Lonchura striata: one gene and its partner. The protein of the gene in region 1 purifies or fractionates together with the protein of each later gene. This does not show direct contact. Links are inferred from orthologs where the notes say so. Each region holds a gene or a part of one and is shown on either strand. Other genes may lie near its edges. The genes, in order: CARD11 and MALT1.

What was found.
Region 2: the proteins of CARD11 (region 1) and MALT1 purify together in Homo sapiens (affinity purification with western blotting; 6 studies listed by BioGRID and IntAct, with this or other methods). This does not show direct contact. The link is inferred for Lonchura striata from reciprocal best matches to the Homo sapiens genes CARD11 and MALT1.

Annotation. Positions count from the first base shown.
Region 1 is NC_134618.1:13,863,978-13,880,065, reverse strand, and holds the start of CARD11 (caspase recruitment domain-containing protein 11), read left to right. Parts: upstream 1-9,323; 5' UTR 9,324-9,430; coding exon 9,431-9,443; intron 9,444-16,088. UniProt on the Homo sapiens protein: Adapter protein that plays a key role in adaptive immune response by transducing the activation of NF-kappa-B downstream of T-cell receptor (TCR) and B-cell receptor (BCR) engagement.
Region 2 is NC_134642.1:364,143-380,673, reverse strand, and holds the start of MALT1 (mucosa-associated lymphoid tissue lymphoma translocation protein 1), read left to right. Parts: upstream 1-9,269; 5' UTR 9,270-9,321; coding exon 9,322-9,473; intron 9,474-10,260; coding exon 10,261-10,427; intron 10,428-12,316; coding exon 12,317-12,438; intron 12,439-12,833; coding exon 12,834-12,984; intron 12,985-13,105; coding exon 13,106-13,284; intron 13,285-13,494; coding exon 13,495-13,591; intron 13,592-15,379; coding exon 15,380-15,406; intron 15,407-16,493; coding exon 16,494-16,526; intron 16,527-16,531. Other genes in the region: ALPK2 (alpha-protein kinase 2), read right to left, coding at 1-1,174. UniProt on the Homo sapiens protein: Protease that enhances BCL10-induced activation: acts via formation of CBM complexes that channel adaptive and innate immune signaling downstream of CARD domain-containing proteins (CARD9, CARD11 and CARD14) to activate NF-kappa-B and MAP kinase p38 pathways which stimulate expression of genes encoding pro-inflammatory cytokines and chemokines.

The DNA of each region.
Region 1 (16,088 bases):
CTCTTCAAGGACACCGAGCTCCTACAAGGTCTCCTGTCTTGATCTTGCTTTCCTCTGGGCTCGCCAGAGCAGACATTGTGTTCTCCTCCCCTGTTGTAAAGCTGCTGAGAGTTATACAAACAAAAGTAGCCGTGCCTGGTACACTGCTCCACCCAAGCGATGTGAAGCTGAAGCGTTGCAGATGAGCCTGCAGTGCTTTTGCAGGGTCCCATGAAATGAGCCGATAAACCACACAGTTACTGCCTCCTCACATGGCATTTACTTCCTCCAGGGCAGGGAAAGCCAATCCAGGCTCAGCTGGAATGGTCTCCAGCAACTATAAAAGCAAAATGAAAAGTGACACTTTTCAACTCAGCAAAATAAAAAAGTGAGCTCTCCTTCTCCACTCCTCTGAACACTTGAGTTTTGCTCCCAGCCAGACCTGTCAGTTTAGACTAGACTCAGCAAAGTGAAAGCCTCTGCTGAAAGCATTGTATCATCATCCTTATCTTTCTCCTCCCTTCTTCTTGTTTGTTAATTCATCTTCATTAGGGCTTTCAGTACTCACTATTATACTTGTTTTGTTTCTTATACCTCAGGCATCCACAATGGCTTTCCATATGGAAGAAACATCAGACCTCAATTTTAACATAATAAGGATCAAGTTGTGCTAAGTCTTTTAAGGCCACTTCTTGTTTGCCTCTGGTGAGAATGTCTCTGGCTCTGCTGGAAAAATTCAAGTTCTGTTTTTTCTGCATGCATAGGTCAATATTACTGAGCTGCTTTTCTGGGAGATGTAGTGGCTGCTGAGAACCCAAGAGGAAGGTATTGTAGCAGTGTACAGTACTATTGATATATGGTTTGTAGCTGTTGTTGAAAGCAAACACCACCACAGTCTTTAGAAATGTAAACTAATTCCTGGTCTGTTTCAAGAAATCAGGACAAAAGCTCCCCTTTGTCTACATCTGCGCTTTCAGCATTACTGCTCCTTCCACACCTGCTCAGCAGCCTCTTCCACCAACTCTTCATGTAAAAGGTTCATTTTTTCTCTTATGTTCTTTCACTTTCATCATCTCAGTTTTAGAGAATTTAGTTTGTTTCATGGTGGAAGGATAAGAATTGGATATAGTAGTTGCAAGGGGAATATATCATTCCCTAAATCCTGATATAAAATGGTAGTTCCCTCTTTCTGTCAATACTCTTAACATTATTGCTTCTTTGTCTCACTGAAAGTCCAATTCAGGAGTCACTGGAGTTTCTTAAAATTTACAAGTTTCACTCACTGGAATTTTAAGCCCACAAGTTTATAAGCAGTTTTTCATATTTTGGTGAGCCAAAAGAGGATAAATGCATAATTCCATATCTTTCCAGAAATAAACAATATGGTTTCTTTATTCTCTCAAAAACATTTTAGACTCTTAAATAAGCCTAAAGCACTATGCAGTGCTATACATTTTAGACATTTTTTCAGTTTTCAATGAAAGGACTGTGCTCATCTCTCTGTCCTTTCTCTCCTTTATACAAAATATAATGTAGGCATATTTCTATGAATGAATGGGGGTCAGTAAACTCGTCAGGGGTCTGGTATGTTTTATACAAGAATTAGTGATTAACACATCAAACCAGGTAATTAGTGCAATGTCTCATAAAATCAGGCTTCAGTTTTATTAGATATCATTATCTATTAATGTAATAAATTTAAGAGGTTATTAAAATCGTGGCAATTTAGATCTACAGATAAAAACCTAGACCAATGTGTGCTTGAATTAATTTCATTTCCATTACTTATTTTGAGATGGGTTATCTGCATTCTATTACACCAGGTGTATCAGAAGTAACTCCATGAATGATAAGTGAATTAAAGTTTGTTACAAATTTCATGGCATGTAATGAATGTATGTGGGCATTGGAATGAAGTGAAAGTCCTATAGATGTAAAGGTATTAAATATTCTAATATAGAGTTGTCATGCAGTGAGAAAGCACAGCTTGCAGAAAGTTACACTATTGTTTCAAAGAGAAATATTAAAAATTCCAACCCAGGTATTCATTTATGGATTAATAAATAGCAGTCATATAGTTTTATGGCTATGTTTAATCTCACATATGTAAAATGTACTGTGATATATGACCACTATTTATATGCATCCTAAGAACTCTTCTACAGGAATGGTCAGAGTCCTTCCCTTGGGAACTACACAGTTAAGTAGAAAATGAGCATGAGATCTTGGGAGAACAGATATATCCAAAAATGAAAAAATAATTTCTAAATAGCAAGTCATAGAGAAATCCCACATACTGACCAAGTGGGACATCAAGATTTCTGTCAGCTCAGTCACAGGGGCCAATTCAGTCTCACAGGCTGTTCAAAACCCCTCAAGAACTCTCCACTACCTGCTGTTTCTGTCCTCTTTCTTTCCCTTGCTCGGAAAACATTATATGTTCCTAGCCTGCCTCAGAATCCTCTGCTTTCAGAAATGATCATTGCTGTTTTGGCAGAATAACTCTGAATGTGATGTTGGCTACAACTTGTCCTATTTAAATGACACAATAAGGAGAAATAAGGCATAACATGGTAATATCTCCGTCTGACCTCTGGGATCTGATAACTTTTCCATCAAATTACTACCTTAGCCCAAGTTGCTTTTGGCAAATTCCTGTTTCATAAACTTATCTCTGTTGTCCTCTGTAACGCCCCAGCTCCTGTTCCTGCAGTGGAGCTGCATTTATTGAGGATGGCTTCAGCTTCCAGCTTTGCAGCATCCAGTGCTGTTGTCTGGCAGAGCTGGATCTTGGGTGTGACTCAATACAGGAATTCTTGCTTTTCTAAGGTGTACTGGTGATATGCTCATGTGGAGTTTCATGCTCTGGTCTTGACACATTTATGTAGCAGTTTCAGGTTCAAAGGTGTTGTGGTTCTCTCTACAGAGGAGGAGAGAGAAGCGCCGATAGATTCTGTGAACCATGGTGGATGCAGAGGACCTGTGATGAAAGGTAAAAATCCTTAACTTCCAACTCTGTGTTGCATTCCCTGGATATTTAAACTGTGGAAAATGTTCCCTTGCCATTCAAACTATGTGGATTAATATATAACTCTTGGTTTAGAAATTGCATAGTTCGTATTATTAATTAACCCTAACATTGCTATTTCTGTGTTGCTGTGTACTTACTGCTCTCAGCACAAAGTTTCCTCCTCCTGACCTTTTGAAGAATCTGTATGGATTCAAAAAGACAAAATGTTGAAGAGTGTGAGCCATTTAAGCTCTGCAGTTATTTTCAATTGATCTCTATTAAAACATCCATACTTTTAATTGGAATAAATGCTGACCTATAAAAAATACAAGAAACATTTCAAATTTAAAACAAACAAACAAAAATAAGTAACTCACCTCTCTTGGCATCTACTAAATTTCAAGTTTGATAGATTATCCTTTGGATTTCAGATATGTTAAATCCTTCGGTCTAATATTCAGAAGAGATATTGACAGTGCTACTATCACAGAAAGATGATTTTATGTTTTAAGCAAAAGGTGAGATATGAAACTGATTGATTTATTTAGAAAAAAAAAAACCCAGAAACTGTTGAACTAAAATAATTTTTCCAGTATTTATTCTGGTGAAAATTATCTGAATTCTATGAATGGTTGTTTTTTTAAATAATAGTGATTAGATTTCTTCCTGTCCATCTTTATTTTAAGAAAAAAATATTGTTTTAGAAGTGTCTGCCCTGATTTCTGAACTTTTTCCAGGTGTTGTGGCATTGTTGTCTTTTTTTTTTTTTTTAATTAAACCAAAATATTGAACTATGTGAAAGAACTATTTTTACCACTTGTAAGGCAGAGGAAATATTCCCTTTTTACGTCTCCAATACTTAGTCTTATCATCCACTGAGGATGGATATGAATACATAACTCATTGGTTGCTGTTAAACTAAATCATTTGTCTGGAAGGTTTAAAGATCCTTGGATTTAAAGCCCTGTGGACATGTAATTAAGAACATATGGAAAAGCACAAGCACCTGAGCTGTGCCTCACGCAAAATTTTGATTAATCATGTAAGTGTAAGGGAAAGAGAACAGGTGGAAAAACAACTAAATTGACTCTGTCTCTTCTGGAGACAGCATCAGAGAGTCTGGAGCTCCCCTCCCTTTGGCCTCAAGAAGGGGCAGAATGGGTCACAGAATCCCAGAGCTGCAGAATCCCAGACTGCTTTGGGCTGGAGGGAACCTTAAAGCATCTTGTTCCACCCCCTGCCATGGGCAGGGACACCTCCCACTGTCCCAGTCTGCTCCAAGCCCTGCCCAACATGATCTGCAACAATTCCAGGCATGAGGCAGCCACAGCTTTTCTGGACAACCTGAGCCAGGGTCTCAGCACCCTCACAGAGAGGAATTTCTTCCCAATATCCCATCTAAATCCACCCTCTGTCAGCTTAAAGCTATTCCCCTTTTTCCTATCAAAACCCCAGGTCTGGGTTCTTTGCTTCAGTGAAGGGCTGGGTTTTTTTGTGCCATAGATTGTGAACCCAGATCCCAGAATGGATTTGAATCCAAATTTTCCACACTGGGTGAATATGCTAACAGGTGACTGGGATATATCCCATAATACTGTCAAACTTGACAGAGACTGTACATTTTGTGCAAAACCACGTAAACCCCACCACTGTCAAATGAAAGAGGGAATTTTATGCTCTCTGTTCCCCTCTGATATATGTTTGGCTGTCATCTTATTTCATAGTTGAGGCAATCGAAACAGTGTTTAAATGTGTATCATAAACCTATAGATGAGAACATTTCCCTGCTGGATTTAAACCATTACCCCCAAAGGTGTTAAAGAAACCACGCTGTGTGTCACTTTTTAAGATCAAGGGGCATTTTTGATGTTAATGCCTAGAAAAGGCAGATGAACACTAACAGCTGCTTATGCACAGGCTGGTGAATTGAATAGGGAAATACTTCTGTTCTGGAAGTCAGATCTCCAGAGAAAAATGATAAATTGTGAGCATCCTTAAGTAAGAGTGATAGTCTCTAAGGATAGTTGAGCAAGGCTGATAACATAAAATATGTAAAACGGGGAAAATATTTAATACTTCTGTTTCTCTGCTCTAAGGAGTTGGAAGGGTTGTGTTAACAATATATACGGTGCTGCTGTGCTCAGGCATGCAGGAGAAATGCAATATATTAGTTCTCAAATCAGTAGTTTGTGAAATGCATTTCTGGTATCCAGGGATTTTCAGGACTGTTACCCTGATAAGGAGTCAAGGGCAGCCTCCTCATGGGCTGGGATGGCTCTCTTGGGAGAAGAAGGGAGCAGAAGAAAAGGAGCAGCAGATTAAGAGCTTTTAAGAGCATTTTAGTGTTCCTTTACTTCTAAATGTTGATTTTTTTTTTTTAACTCTTCAGTTTGCAGATATTTAAAGCTCTGCAGCAGCTTCAACTCTGACTTAGAGCTGATGAATCACCTCTTTAAAAAGGCCTCCTGTAGGAAGTTGTGGTGTACAAGGAGAACCTTACACCAAGGGAAGTTTATTTCCATAGGAAGCATGTGTGATTCCTGTGGGACAGACAGAAGGAGAAGGGAGAGAAACTTTCCCTGTAGACCCCAATAACGATGTTCTGGTATGGGCAAAATGTGTAGGAGACCAGCAAAAATAGGGAGGAATAGCTAAGATTCCAAATAATTTCCACTGCTTAATCACCTAATAGAAAACCTTGAAATTTTGCTGGCTTTTTTATGCAAGGAACTCAAAGTAAAACCCTGCAGGAAGGGAAGGTACAGAACGACCAAAGGATTTAAAATGCAACCTCATTCAGGTTGCACCACCAGGGCTCAGACCTGCAGAATTAGTACAACTGGAAGGAACTAAATATACCCTTTTTTTTCTGAAGTCTCTGGCAAAGAGGGAGACAGAAACATACCAGGTGTGTCCTTCCAGGTTGAAAGCAGAGGTGCAATTTATTTTTTCCTGCACCAGGTTTAATGAAAGAAATCTGAGAAGCCGTAACCAACACCAATAACAAAAAAAGTATTGTTTATTGTTACCTTTAACTGGATAGCTTCTTAAACTGAAAGTTCCAGTGGAATAAAAATAATCAGAATACAGAGACAGGTATCTTTTTGAGGCAATTAAGTTTTCTCACCCCAAAAAATAAAAATATAAAAGGAATATTTATTGCTTAGAACTCTACCATTCAGGTTCCTAGACCCTTCATTTGAGTCAGGAAAGCCCCTGGTTCAAACTCTGCAGCTTTTTGCTGTATTTTATGTGATGCATCTGAAGTTTTTCATTTTTTCTGCCTGCCTGGTTAATAGAACATAATTATTTTCTACCCTTACATTGTGTGAAACACATAACTTCAGTCTGCCAGCCTCAAGGAACTGCAGCCTCACTATAACACTTTTTTATAGCTTGAGGGAATTTTTTTACACCTGAAAACTGGGATTAAGATTGTAAATTCTTTTAAAATAGAGTTGATATTCAGTTACATGTGGCTTTGTGATTGATGACTGTATCCTGCTCAGCTAATCTCAGTTTGCCAGTAAACCCGTTATGACTATGAGAATTTTAGGTTCTTTGATTTCTGTGATAGATTCCTTAAAGCTGCTCAGGCTTTGCTGGATAATTGCTTCATCTCTACGGTGTCACTTTAAACACAGGGAAATGTGGCATCTTCTTTAAAACAGTTACTGTAGTTTTTGATCTGTTTGTAATCTACAGCATTAAACAAAGTAAAAGCAGGAACAGGAACAAATGATACCTAACCCCTTGCATGGCTCTGTAGGGCAGTTTCAGAGTGTGCTGCCTGATACCCTGTTTGCTGAAGAAATCAAGGACAGAAGGAGAAAGCTGTAATGAGACTTTGTGAGTTTTGATTTGAATTTTTAACATGTTTTTCCTTTCAGGTTAGGAACTATATGTGGAAGATCTGTGATTTTAAAATTGAAGTGAAGCCACAAAGCCTCCTGCCAGCAGAGTTAGTTTCTCTGGTTGTGCTTAAAATGGTTCCTCTGTTGCATGCACAAATCAGCTTCCTCTGTGAAAGCAGCAGAAAGCTCAACTCAAAAGTGTTTTGTATTGGTTTTGATGGAAGAATTGTAGGCCATGATTCTTATAGCTCTATTTCACAGTTTTCACCCAAAGTTTCACAGACTTTCCCCTGGTCAGAAACTGTAGAACCTCACCTGTGCAGTTATTGCATGGGGAGATTTTTGGCTGCTCAAGGCAGGAGGTTTTCCTGCACCTTGTCACATGCAGCTCCAAGTGTGTTCCAAGCAGTGAATTTTGGTAAAGCTGCAGAAGAATACAAGTAACACATCAAGATATAGTCCTCACTGGAAAAAAAATTGGTAAGGGGATAGCAGGTTCTGCTATTGCTCAGCAGGAGACAGAAATTCCTGCCTTCCTTTATCTTTGAGCTCTTGATATAGAGAACTGGAATTGCTTCCAGAATCCCTTTCTGAATAATCCTCATGGATAAACTTAGACCCTCACCAGTCCAGCTACAGTTACAAACATGTGAAATAAGATAAAAAATAATGGAGGATTGGAGCAGAGCACCCTTGCAATTTTTTGCAGGCTTCAGATTTTCAGTTTGGTAAGAGCAGTTCATGTGTTATTGTAGCAAGACTTTGAGCCATGTGTTTTCTCTATTTTCTTTACATTTCTTCTTTTCACTGTATCGCCTCACTTCCTCTATTCTGCTCTTTGCCACTGCTCTATCCTTTGACAGTTTTTCCACTGTTCTTTTGTACTTACTTTCCATTTGTTATGGTTTTCTTTATTCTCTACCAAATACTTTTTCCTTTCTTATTTTCTCCCTCCACTAATGTCATCATGCTTTCCCCCCCCCACATTATTATATATTATATGTTGCTTATGCTTATTTTTCTAGTGTTTCTGATTTTATTTCTGTTATTTTCTCTAAGGAAATAAACACATGCCCATGCCCATATATACATAGTTGTTTTTCTCTAGTCACCCTCAAAGAAAAGCTGAACCTTGCAAAAATCATGAGGGAACAGAAGGTGATCCAGACAGAAAAACCTGTGGGTGACTCTGCTCAAACCCCCGTTATTGTTTTCCCAATTTGTAATTTGATGTGTTTGCATTTACAGCTGGACTGGTGACATTTGCAGTCACCCTTGCACACTGGCTTCCCTGTTACACTCATCCTTTCTTTAAAAGTTCTTCTGTCTGTCCCTCACACACCCAGGACCTGACTCCAGGGAGGTTTCACCTGTGCACATGTGCCCAGTGTAAAGGTAAAACCTCGGCTGTGAGCAGTAGAGCTGTACCTGTGCCTTGTACAAGAACCAGCACACCACGCAAGGGGTTCAGGCTCAGGATCCCTCAGCAGGGTGGCAGAGCACTGCAAGATGTTTCTAGAAGTGATGGTGACTGCTCTGGTGGGTTTGGCTGCAGGGAGGCTTCTGGTTGCAGCAAGAGCTAAATGTCCTCTGTGAGACCCACCAGGGGCTGGGTTTGCATGTTGGCCTTAAGGCTGGAATCCAGCATTGAAGCAATACAAGCTACTGCAGCTTCTCTGTGTCGGCAAAGACTGCCTTTGGAAAACACGTTATTCAAAACATCCTTCAACTGTAAAATAATTTGATGCATAAAGCAAACCTTGTTGACTACCTTTTTAGCAAAATAAGCTATTAATAATCTAGATGCCTTAATGAAAAACCTTTGATACCTTGGGAAAACCCAGAGCTCCTTCTGCCTGGAACTGTTGTTCTTGAAACTCTGTTTTCTTCAGTTCCTTCATTCTTTTTTCTCTCCCACCTGCTTTCTACCAGCAAGTGCCCTGAGACACCAGGGCTGCTGCTCTGTGCTGGGAAAGGCACAGCACCAGCCAGGCTGGCATTAAGCACATCCCCTTGAGCCTGAGGAAATCATGCCCTGGAAGTGTGTGGAGCTGAAGTGAGGCAGTGGAGACAGGCTGCTTCTTGTGCCCGAGCCGGGCATTTGTGCTGCCACCTCTGCCCACTGCTCTTCCTGGGAAAGGGGCAGCAGTGCCTCCTGATTTGCTTGCCTGCTGCCACAGGGCTCTGCTGTCACCTGCCTGCAGAGTCATTTGCAAACAGGCCCTATTGCTGGGGAGCAGAAATGTGTTTTTTTCAACCTGCAGCAGATTTATAGTCTGGTTTCCTGTCAGATCTTTGCATTTTCCTTCTCTGCCCCTCCCAGCCTCTGACACACTTTTTCTTACTTTCTGTGTGGCTCTTTGCTCATTCTGACACCAGTGCCCCCAGCCTCCTTCATTCCTGATTCTCCCGAGACTTTTGTACTTTGGGGGCCAGGGAGTGTTTTGCTTCTTGTGTTTCCTTAACTTTTCAACAGCTGCAGAGCACGAATAACCTTTCCAGGACTCCTGGAGAGACACAGACTGTTGCATGGAGGCGACGTAGAGAGTGCAGCCTGCAGCAGCTGCAGCCCCACAGCCGGTCACTCATGGGCACCCAAGGTAAGGAGAGCAGCTGGCAGAGCAGCTCCCCTCCCTGCTGCCTACACAGCTCTGATCACTGAAAGTTCCACTTTCACCTTTTTCGTGTTGATATTCAAAAGGTTCTTTGAAAATGGTTCCATTTGTGCTTCCCTTGCCATCATCAGGTCTGATATTCAGCGTGTGTCGATCTTTGGAGCCCAGGCTTGAGGGAGGCAAAGAGGCTGTAGCTGGAGGTGCAAATGTGCACTGGGAAACTGAGTTGATATGGAGGTCTGGAGAGGGGAGATGAAGGACTGATCATCAGTGCTGGTCTCCAGGGTATTTCTGGTTCTACCCATAGTGTGTTGAACTCTAGCCCTTTCTTTAAATCTCTTCACTGAGATTTATGCTTTCTGCTAACAAGTAAAATCTTTATTATTTGGTTTTCTTCCTCTTTTTATTTGTTCTTCTCACTTCCCTTTTTCTTTTCTCAACCCTTTCTATTTCTTATCTTTTTCACCATCTTTTTATGCCTTTTTATGCCTTTTTATGCCATCAAGAGTATTTTCTGTGTGACAAATTATTTCCCTTTTTCATTCCTTTCCTTTCCCTCTGCCTTCTTTCATGTCTGTGCATCCTCCCTCAAGTTCTTAATCTCTCCCTCCCCTCTGTCAGTTCCTTCTTGTTCTTGTGTTCCCCTTTCCCGTTGTTCCTCCAGCTTCACACATGCACTCCTACTTCCTGCTCCATCCCCTCTCTCCTGTGTTTGCTGCACTGGAAAGAGCCTTTCGTGAGAGCTCTTGCCTCTCCACTGGCCTGTCCTTGCACACATGTGTCTCTTAGTCCTGTCATTCCCTTCCATGGAAGTGTTCAGGATTTGCATATTTACAGTTTTGGGGATGCATCCCAAAATAGGAGACTTTTACCCTTGCATAGCTTCCTTCCAATGCTCAGACTCATATTTAGTCATTCACAGCAAATAACCACTGTCATCCTGTCTCTCTGTTTCTGTCTTACAAACAGCATTTTCTAGCACCTGTAACCCCTTTGTCTTCCTCTCCACTCTCAAATAGAGCCTGCCCTGACTTTGTGTATTCTATCCCTTCTCTTTTTGCCATCCCACTCCTTCCTACCTTCTTACCACAACTCTTCACCAGGTTTCTCTATCTGTTTTTATCTTTATATTGCATTCAAACTAGGAGGAAATGCTGAAGCTGCTGGGCTTGCACTGCTGCCTTAGGATCCCTCTGCCAGCCTGCAGGGGAACCAGAGGAAGTATTGCAGTCTCTCAGCTCCTCTTTCCTCTGCAGAATAACCAACCTGAGCAGAGAAAGAGCTTAGTGACTGAACTGAAGGTAGATGAAAAAATGGGAAAGTACATTGCAAAATGCCTTTTGAAAACTGTAAAAAATAGTTCTAGTTGTTAGTTAATCTTTTTACTAAACTGAATAAACTTCGGCAATTCCTGCCCCACAGCAGAATTTCTTATCTGACACTGGCATAGTTTTTGTCCTTTTGATTCCTATGGGATTCCAAGTCCCAAAGGTAGACGTTCTCATCTCCGATGCTGTAGTGGCAGTTACTTTGCTCCTAGGATCTGGAAACAGCTCATGTCTTTTATACCAGACATACTGGTGAGTCACCAAGATCAGACATGGCTAAAAACTGCATCCAAGGACAATATCTGGTGTTATTCCTTGCTTAAATTTGTATGCTTTGAATCAAATATGACAAATAAGTGTACTTCTTTGATGAAGCTTTTTAGCCTCACCTTCTTGAGCAGGACTATTGAGACTGAAGATTTATTCCTAAGGATGTTCTCGTGTGGTCTTTTGGGAACTGAATAAGTTTCACTTATTAAACTCAGCTGAATTAATAAGAGAATTATTATGTGGGAGAATTCTCTTAGCAATCTGTCTGGCTCTCTCAAATTGTCCATCTCCTTATGAGTGAAAGGAGCTTAAATTTTTATGTTTGCAATTATAAAATATCCTTTCTGATTCAGAGTTAGAAAACTGTGGCCTTTGAGCTGTGAGAATTCTTTCTGAATACAGAAAGAGGTACATTAAAATATCTTTGCCTTTTGGATCTTGCAAAAAGTCCACAAGCCTAGAACAATAAAATACGAGATGCTAATTTTATACATTCAGGTCTAAAATGACTCTTTCTTATTCTGTTGCAACTCATCTTGTGATGGGAACAGCATTTGTATTCCTTTGAGTCATTTGAAAAAGCTTTAGGATGTTGTGCCTTATTTCATCAGTACTTTCTGCCCCTATTACTGGTTCTTTTTGTAAAGGCTCCCATAAATAAATGGGCTGGGACAATGTCTCTTCTCTCTCACCCCCTCCTTTTTCTTTTTGCATCACATTGTTTCCCTGTGTTGAGCTAAAATGGACAATGTCAAAGGTGTGTTGTGATTTTTGCAAGGGGACCTGGAGACAGAAATTGTATTTTTGTGTGTGTCTGTGTCCAGTTTCTTCAATAATGTGTCTGGCAGAGGAGGAATTTCAGCAGGAAAGAGCCTGGAAACTTTCTATCCTCAGTAAATTTCTGTATCAAGAGAGCCAACCCCAGAACAGAAATTCAGAATCACGTTTTACTCCCTGTTCTTATGCAAATAGTTACTTCCAATTAGATTTAACTCTTAATTAAGAGTTCAATAAACTTTAATGATGAACTTTCTTAATACACTTTCAGCGTGGGAGAAGGAAGAGCCATCTGACTGCCTGTATCTTTTACAATTAAAGTCAATTTGGACCTTCTCTAGAAAGATGAAACCCAGATAACTGGATATGCTGAAGATACCAGAATGCCATACACCAAATGACCTTGGTTTCTGTACAGTTTCTTGGTAAAAGTTTTCATCTGATAGATATATGGAAATGTAAATTTCATCACAGAGGATGAAATTTATAGAGATCCTTAGCTACCCTCTTGTTAGCAGATGGCTTAACTCTCTCTTTGATATTGAAATGCATCTTTCATGAAATACGAATCTTTCACTTAGATATGGTCATTAAGTCATGTAACTGATGGTGGAGTTTGACCTGTGGCAGCTTTCTTTGGCAGTAGCCTCCACAGCAATCTAAACTTAAAAAGAAATATGGAAGTATGCCATGTGATTTTCAAACTGAAGGGTGAAACCATAAACCCCACCAAGTTTGGTCAAGTCTCACCACTGATATGAGAGAAAAATTCTTTGTCTCTTGTCTGTTTTACCACTGCTGTCTGTAGGATTTGCATTTGCAGAACACTGCTTTGCTGTGAATCCAGTATCTGCAGTGAATCTGCAATTCCTTTTTCAGAACAAATGATGGGGTTTTACAGGCCTACATGTAATAATATTCTCCATCTCTACCCTTCCCCCAAATTTTTTCTTAAGTGCTGCCTTCATCCTCTAGTCTGGGTCACTTATTTAATGGCAATGAACATTTTCAGAAGGTAACCTTTCTGCTTGTGATTTGTTCAAGGACTCTGGAATTATAATGGTTGCTGTCAAATGTGTATAATTGGTGTCTGTGGCACACATCCAATGAGTGATAAAAGCTTCGTTGTCTCTGCTGCTTCAGTCTGTATTCTCTCCCTCTATCACCCTCTCACTTCTGCTCCTCTCAGGCAAGAGGAGAATGCAGTGCCAGGCTGTTTAAAGTGCAGTTAGACAGAACAGCAGCTCTGCCAGATTCCCTGTCACGGAGTGTCCCAGCTCTGGGCAGTGAATTCCCTTGGCTGAGGTTTGCTCACTGACTTGAGTTAAGCACAGTATCCTCTGAAGTTTTATTTCAAACACCTCCCTTCATAACCTTCTGCCAAATATTTGGGCTCTAGGAAGGATGATAGTTTGTGAGTACTATGAACTCCCAAGCTTAGTGACCTACATGTAACATTTTACCAGTGGGTAAGTCTCATAATTGAGATGGAGACAACACAGAGCAACACACTCCATTTTCAGAAGGCTTCAAACTCTTTATTATAGCAGGCATGCTTGTTATACATTCTTACAAAACTCATAAGTTTACACTTTACTCACTGGTCACGAGAGACAAGGTGCTTATTGGAATAGGCAGTTACAGGTTTCTCTTATTTATCCTTCTTTCTTTCTTGGTTTCTATGTCAACAACTTCTCTCTGGCTCATAGAAGTCATGTAAAACCTCTTCCAGAGGTAAAAACTTTGTGCTTTTATATACAAAAAGCAAGCACACATTACTAATAGCACCCAAAACTGGCAACATGTTGTTCGTTGTCTGTTCCCAGTGCTGAACACGTAGTGAAGAGAATATTTCTGTTACTTTAGTCCTGCAAAACCTATTTTATCTTCAGGGCTGGGTGGGTGATTACTTTCTAATGCTGTCTACTTCAGTGAATCTGTTTAGCAACTCAAAAGGAGAGAGAAATTTGTCAAATCTCACTGGAAATCTATCAGAAATGTCAAATGAAATGCTGTAACATTCTGGTTTTGTCAAAAGGATAAATGTATATACAGCTGTGTGTGTGTGATATTATTTGTAGTAATTGTTGCCTCAGTGAATTTCTCTGTGTGAAGAACTTGGTGTTGCATTAAGGGATGTGTTTGTTCTGGTCCCTGAGGCCAGCTTGGCCTTACACAGAGGTACTTGGAATTTGCCCAAGTCAGCCCTGGTTTTTGGAGTTCAGGGGAGGAATCAGCTTCAGTGTAGCCAAGGAAAGGATTCCCACTGGCCGTCTGAGCACTGGGTGTTTGCTGGAAAATTTTCCTCAGGTTGTAATTGAGATGCTGAAGACCAAATGTAGCATAAGTTTTCTGTTTAAAGTGCGATAAGGATTTTTTTTTCCATCTGCATGCAGAAGAAGCTGTATGGTAGCAGTACATATATGGTTGTCATTAGCAGCTGAAGAATTGTTTCCACTTCATTTTTATAGCTCTAAACCTGTAGAAACATCTCAAATCTAGCTGTGCCCATACTTGAAATCAATCTGAGTATACTTAATAAGTTGTTACATGCATTTAGTATATTTGAGCACAAAAATAAGTTCCTCCAAGATTTGAAACACTAATAAAGTCAGCTATCAAATATTTCCCTTTGGGGATTCTGAATCCTGATGAAACTGGGAAAACACCCAAAGAGTGTTTCAAGTCTTTTTACACCAAGTACATTTCCAAAGTACAGTGAAAATGGTGATTGAAACTTTGATCATGAACTGAAAAATTATCACATTTGTAAGACCATATGAGGGCTTTTGGCTTCTAGCAACTCAATTCAAATACCAGCGACCTACTCTACTCTCTGACCAAACTGGTCCATTGCATGGAGTCTGTTTAAAGGAATCTTTCCTCCCTGATGGCACTTCCATGTGGATCCTCTGCAAAGTCTACTGGTGCATCCCAGTCTTTCACAAGAACAAGTCACTGTGTCTATCCAGCATCTGCTTCCTGCATCTCACTGCTTGGCTTTTTCTGAATCACAGAATTATTTAGGTTGGAAAAGGCCTGTTAAGGTCATTGAGTCCAACTGTTAACCCAGCACTGCCAAGTGCAGCACTAAATCATGTCTCTGAGCACCATGTGAAGGTAGTTTACATTCCATATGGTTTTTTGTAGTTTATAATGAGGTAGTTAGTGAGATCATCAAACTCTTTTCACTAATGATTTGCAGTGACTGAAAATAGAAAATTCCATCAATTTTCCCACCTTCTTTACTATTGCTGAGCTGATTTTTTCCTGAGGGGAAAAAAAACAAGCTTAAGGTAAGATTCTTCCCTGCTCCTACACTGCTAGTCCTCCTTCATAGCTCCTGCTGAAGGCAGTCAGGATAAGTCCCAAAATTTAATTCTTTAAAAATCTTCTGTGTGGGCTTCATCCTTCCAGTAACATATCCCTGTATTTCCAGTTACATATTTTTTAGAAAGACCCAAGAATGGCAAGTTTTATTTTAGAAGGTTTCATTTCCTTCTGTCTTTTATTCTCTCTTTTTTTGCGATTTATGCCATGAAAGATACCAGGGTAGGTAGCATGAAACAAAAAATGTTTAAACTTTTGTGTCAGGATCGGAAACAATGTGTTTTCCTCTTGCTTCAGTTGTTCAAAAAAAGTGAAGGAATTTTACATTTTCCAAAAGGCTGGAAAGGCTGAATCTATTGGGTTTTTAAATCCGCAGGTCTGTGGCCTGAAGGAAAAGTGATACTTGAATATTTTTATATGGAGTGTTACACTGCAGAATGGTGTTTTTGTGCCTCATCCATATCCATACTGAGAGCAGCATCCAGGCAGTTTTGCTGGACTAAACACTATTGACAGCAGCACCTTCACTGTATCACTGCCCAACAAGGCTGCACACCTGGGAGAGCAGGGCTGGCTCCAGACTGGCCTTAGAAGCTATGTGAGAATATAATATCAGGAAGAATATTCCACCTGCAAGGAACAACTGAAAAATGCTTGGTTTGAGGCAGAAGTGATCAGAATTTGAATGCCCCTTTGAAGTCAGTGGATTCAGTGACAAGCTGTTACACATACCTTGTACTATGTGCTGCAATGCAGAAAAATGTAAACTCATTGCAACATGATAATAGTGAAGAAATCCAAAGCTGCTTGAGCAGGATAGTATTAGAAATCTTGAATGCATTTAGAATTTTTGGCTGTTAAATAGCCAATGCCATCAGCACTTCAAGTAGAGTCTGCACAAAGGGACTGAACAGTAGAAATTATT
Region 2 (16,531 bases), on another chromosome or scaffold:
CTGCTGCAGCCTGGAAAGACTGTCCTAGAGTACTTACATATCTGCAAAGCTCTATAGGGTTTAACAGCTTGAAAAGGTTTCTCCTCAGACTTTCTGTTAAGGTACAGACAGTGTGCTGTGCATTTCCCTCTGGCACATTCCTTCTCCCCTCCTCCAGCAGCAGTGAGCTTTCCCCCAGCACGTCCCCGTCGTGGCTGGTTTCTGTCATTGTCCCCGAACCCTGGTCATAGGTGCAAGCAGTACCTATGCCATTGGCAGAGGAATCTGCCTGGGCAGGGACAGTGTCCGTGGGCTTTGGTTCGTCCCTTGAGGAACTTGCAGCCAGATGGCCACTTCCATTAGTCTCTTCTTCACTTCTGGGATGTTCATTTCCAGTGGCTGCAGAAGCAACAGGCACTTGATTCTCCTCTTTGTCTTTCAAAATGGTACTTTTATCTCGGTGGTGTCCAACAGTGAGAGTCATCTCTGTCTGCGGAGCTGACTGGCTGTACATAGAGGGGTCTCTCCTTACGTTTACTCCTTTGATTTTTGACTGATGCTCACAGAAGCCAATGGGGGTATCCATAGGCGTAGTGTTATCTGACACTTGGAACACACAAGGCATTTCACTGAGGAAGTAAGCACACCCATCACAATCCTTACTCAGTTTTAGATCATCTTCATCATCACTTTCTAATAAAAATTGCAATTTCTTTTTCCAGATTTCATCTTCATGCACTGTCAGCACATCTGAACATTCAAAGTACTCCAGGTCATCATCAGAAAAGTCATCATTTACACTTGTTACTTTCTCTGTATAAATCTCCAGAATGGTGGCAGAATTTTCAGAGTCATCTTTTTCAAAATCTGTGAGATTACCTATGGAAGTGTCTGCCTGCTCATCCAGCAGGGAATTCCTGGTTAGAGGTCTACCCAGCCCAGTCCTTTTACATGCCTGGACATCTGCCAGAGACTGAGGCGATCCAAAGTCTCCAGTGTTAAGGTAACAGTTGACTGTGTGACAAGTGGTTACATCTGTGGGGTGAGAAGGCACCTGTCTGCTGCAGTATCCCTCCACTCTTCCAGCAGCGACATCAACCACACCGTTAAAATTAAGCAGGTCATCACCATCCTCTGACAAATCCCTTAGGCAGGAAACAGTTGCCTGGGATTTAACTACATTTTTAACATCCATGTTGTCTTCTGTGTTAGGCAAGTGTCTTGAGGGATTTCTCAGGTGGAGACAAAACTCCTGCTTTGCTGAGCTTCTCAAGCAGTAAATGAATTATTTTTGAAGAGTCAGAACTGGATGAAATCAACACAGTCTCACCCTCACAGGGGAAACTCTCACATTGTGCAAAATGTTTCCCATTTTGCTCATTCTACCCTGAAGTCTGTCACGAGTTCATTTAGGACAACAACAAATTCTAGGCAAGTTTTGTTCTTTCTATGTGGTTCTGGATCAAGAAAAGTCATTCTAGCTCTCAATGAAGTGCAGCTCTTGTTCTGTGCACCTGCAAGTAAAAGAAATGCAAAGTTTAAAATCACTTCTGAAATGGTTATAGGTATTTTCTAAAAGGTGGTCAGTTGACATATATTTGCAAGCACTTTCAAAACAAGAAATCATTATTTAAAACCGAAGATCAGACATTAAGGCAGTAACCCTAACCTGGCTGTCTATGCAATGACACTTACTGGCAGCACATTGCAAGTGCCCGGAGTGATCTGTGCTAGGAGAACAAATCCCTGAGCAAACCCACACATCCATGTGGCGCCTTGACAAGGACTCTTAGTACACAGCCTTTCAACTTTTCTAAATGCAAACAGGAACCTGCAAACAATGTACATTTCCACACATACCCCACTGCTACAGCTACCTGCTGGTTTGGTAGTCACATTGGCACAAGAGCAGGCTATTCCTTGAATTGGCATCATAGGGACATAAATCCCAAACTCTGTTTGTAGAAATACCCAGAACAACCAGCCTGCTTAGACGTTATAGGCCAATTTCTGTTTAAAGCAATTATTTTGTGCTCTGGCTTGATATTTGTCATTCATGTGATGAAAGAACAGTGAAAGCAGGCTTGCTTCAATTTCCTGCTCATATCAAGTTTTCCCTTCAAGCAGGTGTGCAGTAGCAGGGTGGCAATGCTGAATTCACATAAAATCCAAGCAAGATACACCAAAAGGTTTCCACTGGCTGAATCCAAAGAAATGTAGAATCATTTCTCTCTTCCTGTAACACAAGCCTTGTTTCCTTAGCATTCCCAACTCTTAGGATTTTAGATACCCGAGATGTTTTTGTACATTGCTAGGAGCTCTCTGCCTCATCAGTCACCTTGGAAAAGGTGTGACATGGTAGCACTGGAAAAGTACTGTAGCAGTTTCGAGTAAATATGACCTCCTGGAGGATGCCAGACTAACGGCTCTGAAAAAAAGTGACTACATTTATTCCAGTATTGGTGAAGAGCAGAAGGAAAAGCTTTCTTGCCATGTAATCCAATGAAGCCATTTAAAGACACCTCTGTTCATCCTCCTTTTCCTTCTCCGTGTATCTGCTGTAATGATGTTTCCAGCTCATGTCCTGCCCTGGCCTGGGTCCCTCAGCCCCCGGCCTGGCCGTGCCCAGCAGGCAGGCAGTACCGTGCCACAGGTACTGCAGGCCGACCGGGGGAGAGAGCTGGAGCTGGACTAGAGCCTGCTGGTGAAACAGCAGCGGCTGCGTGGCCGGCTGCAGTCTGCCTCTCCTTGAAGAGCACTAGGCAACCAGGGATACCTTAGCTCCCTTTGGGCAAACCTGCCACCAACACCTCTTCCACAGTCACCTGGGTGCTGGAAAGTAGGGAACAAAGTTGGTTAACAGCAAGGACACAACATTAGATGTGTGACAAACAGTTTGAGTCCATGTACACCAAGGAGCCCAGACAAACAGCACATGGGGCAACCAGACCAGCCTTTCTGATCACACTGCTTTCCTTTTCAACTCCAAGGAATATATTTAACAGGACAAAAACAGAGCAGTAGGGATTAATCTTTTCCTCATCCATTTTATTACAGTAACATGAAAATACCCTTCAGAGTTCAGCCTCTCCTCTTAAATATGCATTTGCCTAATGTTTCCTGTTGCACTCTTTCAACACTTCTCTCATTTTTGCTTTTTAGAAGACCAGATGTCTCTCTCTCCCCTCTTTTGGAGGTTGCAAATTATTTTAAAAGCATGGTAATTTCTCCAGCTGAAAATAGCTTTGGCAACATGTTTTTAATGCAGACTAAGGAAAAACCTTTACTAAAACCATTATACTAGGCAGTTATTGTTGTCTCAGTTTGGCTGCACTCTGACATTGAGGGGAAAAGAGCTGTCAAGATTTCTCCATATGAAAATTACATTGGATTTCCATGCACTGCCAGATGCAACCACAGAAATGAAAGTAAAATAACATTCCAGGAGAAAACTGCAATAAATGATGGGTTTCCACCCAAGACAAAGAGATACTATCTTTTTTAATCTGGAAAGAAAATAGAAAGTATTAAGATTTTTTTTTAAATTCAATTATTGAATTTAGACAGAAACTGGAAAGAGAACTTTTAGTATGATAACCTCTCAGCTCATCAGGAAAACTTGTGGCAGAAGATGCACAGTGAAATTCACGGAGGAAAGAGGAATGGGAGAGACCATGGTAATTTACCATCGGCTTTTGACTAGTAACCTGAAAATTAACTCTCTTCCTGATAAACTGGGAGTTGAACACTTGCTGGCAGAAGACACAAAAACATTTAAACATGCCAGGGTGCTGTGGCTGCTTGTCCCAACTCTCACTCTGAAAACCAATGATATTCCTTGCTGAATCACAACAGCAGACACCTGAAACACAGCCACACTGAAGGAATTCACCCACCAGGTTTGAGCAGGTCATGGCAGGAAATGTGCCTGATTTGGCTCTCTAATCTGCTGCAAACAGATTTTCCATTTTGTAGTGATCAGAGCCATGGGGAATTTTTATGGTAGCCCTTGAGGCAAATGAAACACAGGTTCATGCTCAGCAGGGTCTGCTCAGCTCCTACCTGGGCTCAGTGCCTGGGAGCTGAGATTAAGGGAGAACAAAGCTGGGAGCAGCATGAGAACAGCAACCTGACAACTGTGCTTGGGTGTGATTGAGGAGAAATATTGAACTGATGTAAACCTGCAACAGTCAGATTAACAAGGAAGCAACAGGCAGATGGAGCTGCTTCACCAAAACCCTTTGATAGCAGGAACACACTGGGATTTGTCAAAAAAGCAATCCATTCCAAATAATAGTTAACAAAAGAAAGGCTGGCTAAAGCATCAAAATGGCTAAAACAATCACCCAACTTTTCTGTAAGGCAAATATATAATAAAACAAATTCAAGTCAATTTTCTGAAGAGATTCTTCATTTAAAATTCATACTTTGTCATAATCCCATAATGGTTGTGAAAAGCCTGTTCACTATTCATAGTGAAAATATTGTCTGAAATTCCAGTTCTAAACATAAAATCTGGCTGCTCAAAATTATTTTCCTTGAAATGACATCACTCCAAATTGAAACTTATTTTTATACATTGTTAAATATGTTCAATATTTGATAATTTATTTCAGTTGAGATCAAAACAGTTTTGAATTACACTTTAACATGGAAGGAAAAAAATTTAAAATATTTTATATTTTGTGGGTAGTTTTGGTGACAAAGCCACTTCTAGTGATTTCAGAGGGACCTGTGGGGTTATTCCTAATGTCAGAAAAAAATTAACTGACAAAAATATATAAACTTGATTAAAAGGTGGCCATTACATTTTCTCTCTTGCATCACATTTTTCCAACTTTATTAAATTATTAGCAAAACAAAAATCTTCTTGTGAAAAATTACCAGATATTGGCTTTTGCATTTATGTATTAGCCCATGCTTGTTGTTAGTGATTATAACTATTTTGAAATAGTATCAATTATAACTCTTTTCAGCTGCATGTTAGTATAATATAATCTATCACCTTAAGCATGCACTGTATTGCTCATAGAAATAGTAGTGCAATGAATATAATAGCTATGTATCACTTATGGAAATAATAGTGTGTTGAATGTACTGTGTTATAGACCTTAGCAAAACATAAGATGGGAAAAAAAGGCTTTTGTGTAACCAAAAACAGTGTAAGGCCATCCAACCTGTCCAAGTGCTAAGATAACCATGGCACAAACCAGAGCACCGGAGCACAATTAGAGAATACCGTGTTAAATTTAAGGAGGACATACTAAACCCTTATCAGAGGATGTGAAACAGCAGGATGGAGACACAAGAAAATATATTGACCTGACACCCAGGATGTCATGCAGATAAGCCGGAGTATGAAGAAGTCAGACAAAGAAGTTCCCAAAACATCAGAAAGTTCAAAAGAACACTTGAATTATGCATGAAACACAATAATATGCATGTATCTTATTGATATAACAGTATAAAGATAACATTGTCTGTATGCCCTCCCCCCCCACCCTCATGGAAATACTGTCCTTTTTTTATCCTATTACTATAATTATTATTATTTTTAGACTTCTAAAAACTCTAAGCAGTGAATTCTGTTTTTCACATTCATTTGTAAGCAATTTTATATTCACAGAAATTATTTATACGGGAAGCTTATGCATTTTAGCAATCCAGAAGTGAATTTGTGCCTTTCTGTGAGGTTCATGTCCTCTAGAGTCAATGGAAAAATCCCCTTTATGACATCCCTGAAGCATTTTTCCTTTGCTTAAGATCTATTCATGGAGTAATCTCTGTTTTGTGTGCAGGCCCTTTTCAGTAGTGCTCCTTCCTATCTTTCAGCAGCACTCACTGGTCCCTGACCTTGCTGGAGCTGTCCGCCCACCCAGGAACCACCTCCCGTTATCTGTGCAGCCCCAGCTCTGGGCTCAGGGGCCCGTCCCACGCATTTCCGTGGCACAGTGAGCACCTGGTCAATGCCCACCCCTCGATGGAGCCAAGCTGTGACCCCCACAAAGCTCCCAGCCAGAGCAGGTCCTGCCAAGGACCTGCATCACACCCACCCAGCCAGAGTAGTGGGAAGAGAGAGGCTGAGTGAGCCCACACGGGGGATATCAGCAGAACACCAGGGGAATGACACTGATCATGCACAGTGGTTCACACTGGGGAATAGCCTTTCATCAACCAATACTTTGGGCTCTCTATACCGAGCTGACAGCAGTTCTGGGATAGCTGAAGCAAGAGAGAGCGCAAATGGAACACCTTGAGCAGCATACTTGTCAAAGAGTGCACAGTGTCAGAAACCAAACTACAGAAACACTGTATTATCTAAACCAGTTACCACACTATCTATTGGATTAATAAGGTCTAGGTAAGAAAAACATCAGTGAAGTTGTGGCTGTTCAAAAAGTAGATGTCTGGAAAATATGCCCTTGCCGAAAATTCTGTGATATATTGAGGTTCTTCAACTGCCAGTATCCAAGGCTTTTTGACAACATTTTGATTAGTGCAGTACCCGCTGTAAACAGCCCCACAGTATAAAAACACCTCATCCATAATTTATCAGCTAAATGGACTAATAAATTACTGGCTCTGCACATGTCAAACAAACACCTTAATATAGAGTAATTAAAATAAGCAATCACAGCACAACTCTTAACACTGATCTGTCTTAATCTATTTTTAACACCTGTCAAGCATCTGACCCTGTCAGACTGAGCAATTCATGAAGATTGGGAATCACCTATTACTACCAAGTGACCAGACCTTTTCCTCAAGAATGGAGGAACCTTTTATCTAATGCATATTAGGCCGTGCTATAAATATTTAGAATTTAGAATTAATAAATGTGTCTTTCAGGATACCTGGTATCACTTACACACTCTTTAGAGAAGGAAGCTTGCTTTTGTACAATTTTTGCAATTTTGTCTTAATGAGACTTGGTGGAAATAGTAGCAGAGAGTAATTTCAGAAACAGTGAGCAGATTTATAAATGCAACATGCTTAGAAACACCCAAATCTATTGGGATAAACAAAAATGGCTCTTCTTTAGCAGAAGGAAATACCAAATCCCATTTCCTGGTCAACAGCAGTATAAATCAATCCATTGTAGTGCACTGATAATAAAAGTAACTTGCTCTTTTTCCTTTATTAGTCTTTTATGATACACATTCTATTTGCCCAGGAGAAAAAAAGCAGACAAATAATTTTCAAAGTCCAAACACCCCGACCCCTCACTTACCCTTGAGCTCTTTGTGGATGTTCTGGGATAGGCTGGTCCTGGGCTGGGCCTCCCCACTGGAGACAAAGGAGGCTGAATTTGTGCGCGTTGTTAGGAGCTGCAAGCCAGCCGACAGCTTCACCGGTGTTTTGGAGTGCGATCTCAGGATAGGGAGTCTGATCACTGAACAGTTTGACTTTTAAGAGAGACGATTTCATTACATGCAGCAGATGGCCCTTCCTGGGAAAACCTCTGCCAGACAGGGAGTTGGCAGTGAGGAGAGGGCACATCCTACTTCCATAGAAGTCCATAGGAATTTCCTAATGGCCTTGAGACAGAGGAAGTGTTGGCCTTAGTTTTTCATAACAGAGCACTGGCTTGTTTTTTGAAGCATGTGCCTAACTGCTCTTCTAGGCAAGTTGGGAATTTCTTACTTGCTGGACGTTAGGCACACAAAAGTTCTGCTGAGCATGAGAAAATCCACAGTGCCTAACAAGCAGGCTGAGGAAATCAAAGGTGGACAGTGGACTTCTCATAATCTCTACACAGAAATTCACCTTATCATCTTCATCCCTCAAAGGCAAATGAGCAAATCCTGAAGTAAGAAAGTATTTCCACTCTTGGTACCCAAGGAGACAAGTCTCACACATGGCAAACTGGAATGAATTGCACAAACTGCCCTGAGTTTAAGGGATCTGGAAGAGGCCGAAAAAACAACTTTTGTGCCAAGTTTTTTCTTAAGCATTTTGAAGGACACACAGCTAAAACTGGTTACAAGATCCTACTGTGCTAAATACTTCTTGCTCCCAGTGTTATCTAGACAGATAGGAAACTGTGGTCTTCAGCAGTAAATATAGCACTTCCAACCACCCTTATTCAGAAATAGCAATAAGAATATCTATGTTTTATAGACGAGCCTAATAGGCAAAGAAATGAGAGGCAGCCACATTCAAATCAGAACAGTTTCGGTTGGAAGGGACCTTTAAGGGTCATATAGCCCTACACCAACATGGGCAAAAACACCTTCCACCAGACTAAGTTGCTCCAAGCCCCGTCCAACCTGATCTTGAACACTTCTAGGGATGGGGCATCTACCACTTCTCTGAGCTACCCAAATGCTTGATCACTGATTAAAAATGTTTGTAAAATTACTTTCTTAGGCACCTTCAGTCCACTTTGAGCAAGTCGCAATACCAGAGAGGTGAGAATTCGCTTCAGATCATCTGTTTGCAGTGATAACGATCACTCAGGGGAACATCTCGGGAGGCTCTTCCTGAGCAGTTCCTCCTCTCCCTCGCTGAGGACGCAAGGTGCCTTTACGCTGCACGCTTCGACAGTGGCAGCAGGCTGAGAAAAGCTGTGTAAAGGAAGAGAGTCCATGGTCGTACTGCTCGCGGTCAGATAAAGACGTTTCTCCTCAAGGCGAGAGAGAAACAGCTCTCGGGTCTTGTGGGCTTTGTCTGGTTTACGCCCCAGCCCCGGTTGTAAAGCCACGTTCGGCCTCCTCAGCACCACCCGGGAACGCTGCAGGAGGTCTCGCGCTCGCACAATACGCCCATTTCAACAGGGGTACGACCGCGCCTGATCTGTTTCCTCACGGTGCCCGAGGAGGACTACGGGATGTCCCGGGGGCGCGGTGCCCTCAGAGCTGGGCCCCCTCAGAGCTGGGCCCCCTCAGGGCTGGGCCCCCTCAGGGCTGGGCCCCCTCAGGGCTGCGTCCCCTCAGGGCGCGGAGCCCTCAGGGCTGGGCCCCCTCAGGGCGCGGAGCCCTCAGGGCGCGGAGCCCTCAGGGCTGGGCCCCCTCAGGGCTGCGTCCCCTCAGGGCTGGGCCCCCTCAGGGCTGCGTCCCCTCAGGGCGCGGAGCCCTCAGGGCTGGGCCCCCTCAGGGCGCGGAGCCCTCAGGGCGCGGAGCCCTCAGGGCTGGGCCCCCTCAGGGCTGCGTCCCCTCAGGGCGCGGAGCCCTCAGGGCTGGGCCCCCTCAGGGCTGCGTCCCCTCAGGGCGCGGAGCCCCTCAACGGGGCTGTGCCCCCTCAGGGCGCGGTGCGCGCGCTCCCCTCAGCCGTACCCGACCCAGCCGCCCCGTCCCGCGCGGCTCTTCCTTCCGTGCGGTAGCACCGCCCCGGCGGGCAGCCATGGAGTGCGGCGCGGCGGGGCCGCTGCCCCTCAGCCGCCTGGCCGGGCCGCTGCTCCGTAGGCTCAGCGAGCTGCTGGACCGCGCGGCGCCCGGCAAGGGCTGGCGGGAGCTGGCGCAGCGAGCGGGGAGCCGCGGCGCGGTGCGGCTGAGGTGAGCGCGGGCAGCGGCGGGGCGCGGGCAGCGGCGGCGGGGCGCGGCCCAGCGGTGCGTGTTTATCTCTCTAATCCCGTAAAACACTGAGAGTCCGTCCACTTCATAAGTGAAAGTATCACCACATACTGAAGATATCTCGTCCCCAGGTTTGCGTAGCTCTGTGATTTAAGGAAGGAAACGTTGATTAATCTTTTTAGTGGAAATATGTAACTTTGTATTCTCTTTAGGCAGTTGTCATTATTTCTTTTTTGTGTTGATTGAATGCCTGTGACTGAAAGTGCGTGACAACGACACCAAAGTTGAAACTACAAGTTCAGACACAGGTGACTACGCTGTACAGTCGGTGTGTTAGGCTGGACTCCAGCAGTCACTTGTTTACAACAACTTTAAAATCAGTCTTCCTGTACTTTGAAGTTAAGAGTCTGACTCGCTCTCTACGGCTTCTGAGTCAGGCTCATAGAAATGAAAGATGCTGTACTACTTTTTCTGCTGACACTTTAAAAGTGAAAAATAGGAGGTTTCTTAATACATTTGCTGAAACTTGTGAGGTATATGCATCTCTTATACCATCCAGCTCACTAATACCACTTTCTGTCTGCGGAGGTGTCACTGAATAACCTCTGTACTCCTGAAACTTGAAGGAAATGCTGCAAATATGTCCAAATCAGCTGGGAATTTCCCATCTCTATTTTTATTTATCTACAAGTGATTGTTTACCCGGGTCCTTTCTGAGAAAAAGGTATTGAGAAGGTCTATGCCATGTCTTTCTCACATTATTCCATAGCCCTCTCGACTTGGAGCAGTGTTCCCTCCAGGTGCTGGAGCCAGAAGGCAGTCCTAGCTGGAGTCTCCTGAAGCTGCTGGGGGATCGGGGCTGCACTGTCGTGGAGCTGGCGGAGTCCTTGCAGGCCCTGGAGCACACAGAGGCTCTCCGGTGTCTGAGCCACTCAGGTCAGTTCTGGGCTGTGCTTTCACTGCGGCCCTGGATTTTACACTGGGAACACTCAAGGTAGCACTCTACAGTAGCGAAAAGCAACTTTAGTGCTTGAATTCTAGCTAGTTGGGATCCAGATGATTACCAAGGTTATTGGCTGATCTGATTCTGAGGTTAAATGTAAGCCAAACCTTCGTGCAGTGTTGTTGAAGACTTGGACTTGGCTCCATGGGTGTGCTGGGCGTTGTCATTCTGTCTGCTGACTGGGGTTTGGTCTCAGCATGTGCCTCTGGGAGATGCTTATGGACCAGAGATGGACAGACAGGTAGTGCTGCCAGCACTGGAGTCTGGAGGTGTCAGTAACTTATCCCAGGTGAAGGGGAAGGGTCCAGTTAGGGCAGATTATTAATAAGATTATGAATACTGAATCTGCATGGTTTCAAAGTCCAGTAACCATAGATGTCACTTTGCCATATTCAAAGGTAACACTTATGCTCTGCATTTTCCAAGGAAAATGGAAGAAATATTTATGTGTCTTTGTAATCTATCATAAAATTGAGCTGGAAGGTTTTTCTTTTTGAACTATTAAATTCCATGGTACGTGCAGGAAGTGACTGTGTAGTGCTGAATAAACCACAGGAAAGGAACTGAAACTGGAAAGAAATTATGGATCAGATTTCTTAGAACTTGTTTGGAATGCTTCTGATGAGTGCAAAATGCTTATCTTCCAGTGGATTTTTCTCATCTATGTTCTTAAGAGCTGTTTGTGATGCAAATTGGGGGAAATTAAAAAAAAAAAAGTGGAAGTTTTGGAAAGAGCAAGCCTTCTTAATTTTTCTGTCCTTTAAATTGAAATAGCATAATTACTTTTCTGCTGGTTAATGTTAGAGGACTGTGATGCTCAAAAACAACACAGTTTAACTGCAGAAAGTGGAAGAGGAAGTGTTAAACAAGGAGTTGAGGTACTGATCTCCAGTGCTAGGTGTAGAAGGAAGTGATTTTGGAGTAAGGAAGGCAGGGAATTTCAAAGTGCTGCAGCTTTTTTGGAGTAGCTGCTGGTGTGTTCTACTCTTTCAGAGTAATCATGTGAGTGGAGGCAGCTGATGGAACACACTGCTCTGCCAGGCAAGGTTATGTGATTTCCAAACGCCGTGTGCTCTCCGTTTCAGGCTGTTGTCTCTGTAGGTTCTGGTCTAGTTGGACTATCCAGAGCAAAGAATGTTTCAAATCATGATTTTTAAATGTTCCGTTCTCCTTCTTCTGATGACTTTGGCTATACCAGTGGACCTGGTTTTGGGACCATGCTGTAACAAGATCTGGAATACCTTAGGTTAAGAAAATAATTGCATCATATTGGAGTGGTGTCAGTTAAGATTTGAAATAGAAAGTTTTACCTTGCAGAAAACCCCAGCCCTATGTTCTGCATGAATCAGAGGCATAAGAGTGTATAAGGAATAGCAGGAAAATGTGCTCTGTTGGACTTAAACTCTGACTGCTTTGACTCCCTCAGGCTGGGCCTTAATCTGAACAGCTCAAAAAAAAAAATCGTTGGGAGTGAACAAACATTTAAAACTGAGAATATCTTTCCAAAAAGGGATCTGTGATACCATGAGACATATTATTTCCTTTAAAATTAAAATATCTGAATGATATACTTTAAACCTTTTATGAGCTCCATCGAGTACTTATCGATTTGAGCATGGATTTTGTGTAGTGGAAGACAATTTTGAATGTCTTAAAGTAATATAACTAATTGGAACTGTGCGTATACACAGTACAAACAAATTATTTTCAAGTATATTTAATGACAGAAAGGTTCTGTGCTCCAAGGGCAATTTAAATGCAAATATAAATTATGGACTTGTATTTCTTCATAACTTTTCTATGTGTAAATTCTGTCTTAAAGGTGTAAAGATTGTTGTACAGCCAGACTCTCAAGCAGTGCTCTCTGGTCAGGTTGTCAAGTTGTGCTGCTGGGCAATAGGACACCCATTTGTGCAATACCAGTGGTTCAAGCAGGAAAAAGAGGTAAGAGTTCATAGAGAATGCAGGGTTTTTAAATAGTGAAAATAACACATAATGATTTTGGATCGTCCTTTTTTTTTTTTTTAAGACTCTTATTCACAATGAGAGAAGATTGCTGTATATACTCATAATGCTCAGAAAGTTTAAGAAAAGCTGGATGATCCTATGAACATGCTAAAACAAAACTGTGATTCCTTATGTTCACACCACTTCATTCCTGGGGGCTGTGAATGTGCAATGGGGCAGAAAGGAAGCTGTAAGTTCAGTTGTCTCAGGCTACAGTAAGTGAAGGAGTTGAGGATGGTGTTAAGGACTTGGAAATAAATATAATAATGCTTGATCCTGGTTAAGATTAAACCAATTGAAATGGAAGTATTTTTGGTTCATCTGTGATGCAGGTTCCCCATGGTAATTCTCCAGAACTGGTTTTGAGTCCGGTGAGTGTAAAGGATTCTGGCTTTTACATCTGCCGAGCGAACAGTGAATCTTCTTTCACGTTCAGTCGGTGGGCACGCCTTGAAGTTTGTGAGCTTCAGGATATGCCTCATGGTGAGTGGCAAAAACACCTTCTGAAAGTGCCTTCCTGCTTCCTCAAGGCACTTGGGTCCCTGTTGCTGTGCTTAGGTTGTCTCACACTTCCTTTTCTTGTTACTTCCTTTTCGTTTTTAAGGGCTCTTAATGGGTTTGCCTGAAAACAAGTTGTGCATTTGTAATCAGCCTCAGCCACAAAACCTGACAGTGGGGGATGCTTTGGTACTAGAATGTGGAGCTGTTGGAAACCCAGTTCCTCATTACCAATGGTTCAGAAATGGATTTCCTTTGGCAAATGGGAGCAAAAATGTCTACACAGTAAGTTACTGCAATGGGCCACACTTGGGAGCTAACGTTAACCACCTTGAGCTTACCACAGAAAGTTCCTTTGAAGAAAAGAATTTCTCCAGAACCGCTGCTAGTTTTTTTTACTCTTTCTTGCCTGTGGGGCTTAGATGTAAGGCTTAAATACCTGATGCAGGTATTTTTTGGAGTTCTGTTGGGATGATTGTGATGATGCTTGCATAGGTAACTTGCGTGGATGTGGGACATCAAGGAACATATTGGTGTCATGTATTCAATGACCGGGAGGACGAAGACAGCAAGAAAGTAGAAGTCATTATAGGTAAAGAGTTCTTCTATTTCATACAGGTCAGCTCTTTTGTCCATTTCTTCTACATCACTAAAATATATTTTTGAAGCTTTCAGTATTAAGACAAGCTCATGCCTTCTATATTTTTAGTTTATCCATTTGTTAAAACACCTGTGCTTGCATCTGGCAAATGGAATTTTGGAGTTTTGGGTTTTTATGATAACCAGTACAGAAGTACTGTCCCTTTTCATCCCTGCCGGCATGTATGTGGCTTGTTAGCAGATTGCTAGCTGATATATGCTTTTTGACAACTAAAAACTTTAAAACACTTTAACCCTTGCTGGAGACATGAACTCTGTTACATGGAGTCCTTCAGCAATCAGGAGAGGTGAGCTTGTTCATTTCAAGTAGAATGAAGGAACACGTTTCATGTTCATGCATGTGTATTTGCAGGGAACTGAAGAGGAGCAGATCTGTTTGTATAGCTTCCAGATCTGACAATACTACCATGTAACTTCCTAACGTAAGAGACACCCTAGTTTAGTACTCCTGAGTTTCAGGAATCATTACTGTAGAGTGTTATGGCCAATGCAAATTTGCACTGCTGTAAAGTGAGCCACATTGCAGAGCAGCTTGACAGTGCCCTTTATCTTCCACTTTGTGTGCTAACTCTCAGAACTGAGAGCTCATCTTCCAATTTTTTTCCCTCCTTAAAACACAAGGAAGGAGGGCTGTGGCAGTGGAGTGCACAGAAGGTAATGTAAACCTCTAATTGTGAATCAGTTTTAACAATTGGTGATGGGAGTGACAGGTTGTTGAGTGTGTTGCTGAAAGGCATTTGTGAGTTAAGAGCTTGGGGTTAAAACATTGATGGATGATGCAACAGTCCTTCTGCATGTGCTTCTCTCTTCTTTGCCTGGACACATGATCTAGATCACACGGCTACTTCCTTCTTTTGTGGTATTCAAATGATCTGGAAATTTCTCTGGTGGGGCTCAGGAGGCAACATGCTAGAAAAAAGATCTGGAGATATTCAGGAACCTGGATGATCTTAGAGAGCTGGCTAGAGCTACTTGCAATGTCAGCTCCATGTCTGCAGAAGTCTTATTAGCACCGTCCTCAGGATGTTTTCTGTTCTCCTTTGCACTGTTGCAGCAGGGAGGAAGAAGTGTATTGTGACCCTTAATGTTGGTACCATCCCTCCCTCGACTGCTGAGCATTTCGGAAGCTGCAATATCCGCAGCACGTGGGGTTGGGTTCAGTGGTGCGAGGCTGCTCCGAGAGAGCACTGGTGCTTCAAGGATGTTAGGTTTTTTTCCCCTGCTTTCCAGTGTTCTCAGAAGAAAGAGGTGAAACCCGTGGTAGCTTAGGATGTTTGAAGATTGTATCTGAAGTCTTTCTGAATACACGTGGCTTCCTAAAATCAGATTTTTTGCTCAGGATGTTGCTTTTTCAGCAGCCCCTCAAACGTCTGTTCTTCAGTGGGATGATTCTGATACTTTTTCCTTTTTCCTTCAACCTACTTGCATGCCTGTGGGATTGAGGTGTCATAACTGTCCCCCACTTAGTTTTTACATCTACTGTACTGCAATGCTGCGTCTAGCACAGCTTAATGTATTGCTATAGGATTTTCTCTTCTCTGTGGAATAAACACAAAAGGTTTGATTTGCAGAAATGCAAAGTCAAAAGTATTTTAGAAACGTAGTTTGTTTTCTTTGTTCAGCTTTGTTTAATAATGGCATGGCACTTATGTTTTTACTAATAAAATGGGGTTTCTGCTTCTTGTTTAAACTATTATTTTATTGGTGTTTTCCTTCACAGAAGATTTAAGTGATCTTCAGGAATCAGGTGAGTGATAAGTTTTGAAAAACTTTAACTTGGCATCTTCATTTTATGTTACAAGTAATTGAAGGCTCGCTGGGTTGCAATATAAACTTTACAGTATTTGGATGTACCTGTAACTGAGAACTGAATAGGAGCTGGTATCACCTTAAGAGCAGCACAGCTTTCTAGTTCCAAGAGATTTCACTTGAAGCATATAGAGAATCATAGGGGTGCTGTTAGTAAAATAGCCCAAGGCTGCACATACACTTACACAGATACAAAGGGAATTCTCTTTCTTCTCTGTGGTTTCTTGAGACTCGGTTTTAGGACATTGCTGCTTTCTCAGATAATTAAGGTGAAAAAGATGTGAGGTGTCTGCCTCTCACTCATGATATGTTGAGTGGCATAGTTCAGTCATGTTGGAGTCAGCCAGTGTGATTTGAAGACTGTTAGGTGGTTGTTATAGAAATGTTGGTTTACAGTCTTGCTCCAGAGGGAATTATCCCTGATATAGTTTTCCCAAAACCTCAACTCCCAAAGATATTATCCTGGGTTAGATATCAAATTCGTTTATGTTTGCCCAGTCTCAGTTTCAGCCACTGAAAGGCTTTTCTGTCATACTGTGTCATGTTATCCAGGTGAACCACTTTGGCATGCTGCTTACTGTTTCTCTTGGCACAGCAGTGGCTCTGCCACCCCTCTGTGAAGTACAGAATAAAATAATTTTCACATTCAGATGGGAATCCCTGCTAAGCATCCCCCACCTTGCATGTCTGCTTTTTGTTTGGAGAGGATGAACTGGTCAGATGTCACTGAAAATGCCAGTGTGCAGTTTGTGAGATTCAGCATCTATTCTTTCTTAATCTATAGAATAAGTTATTCACATCCTGTCAGGTTGTTTGTGGAAAGAGAGTGAAGGAAACAATCTAAACAAAAACAACAATATCAACATAACACCCCCAAACCCCACCAAAACTAAGAGAGGGCTTTTTCTTGCATTAAACTAGGAAAGTGTTAGGGAAAGCAGTGCTACTAGACTATGGCTGTGGGGAGGATGCAGTTCATTTTCTGGAGTCGCTGACACGCTGCTCTTTTCTTCTATTTCAAACAGACCCACAAGAAGAGTCAAGTCACAGACCTGTGGGTAAG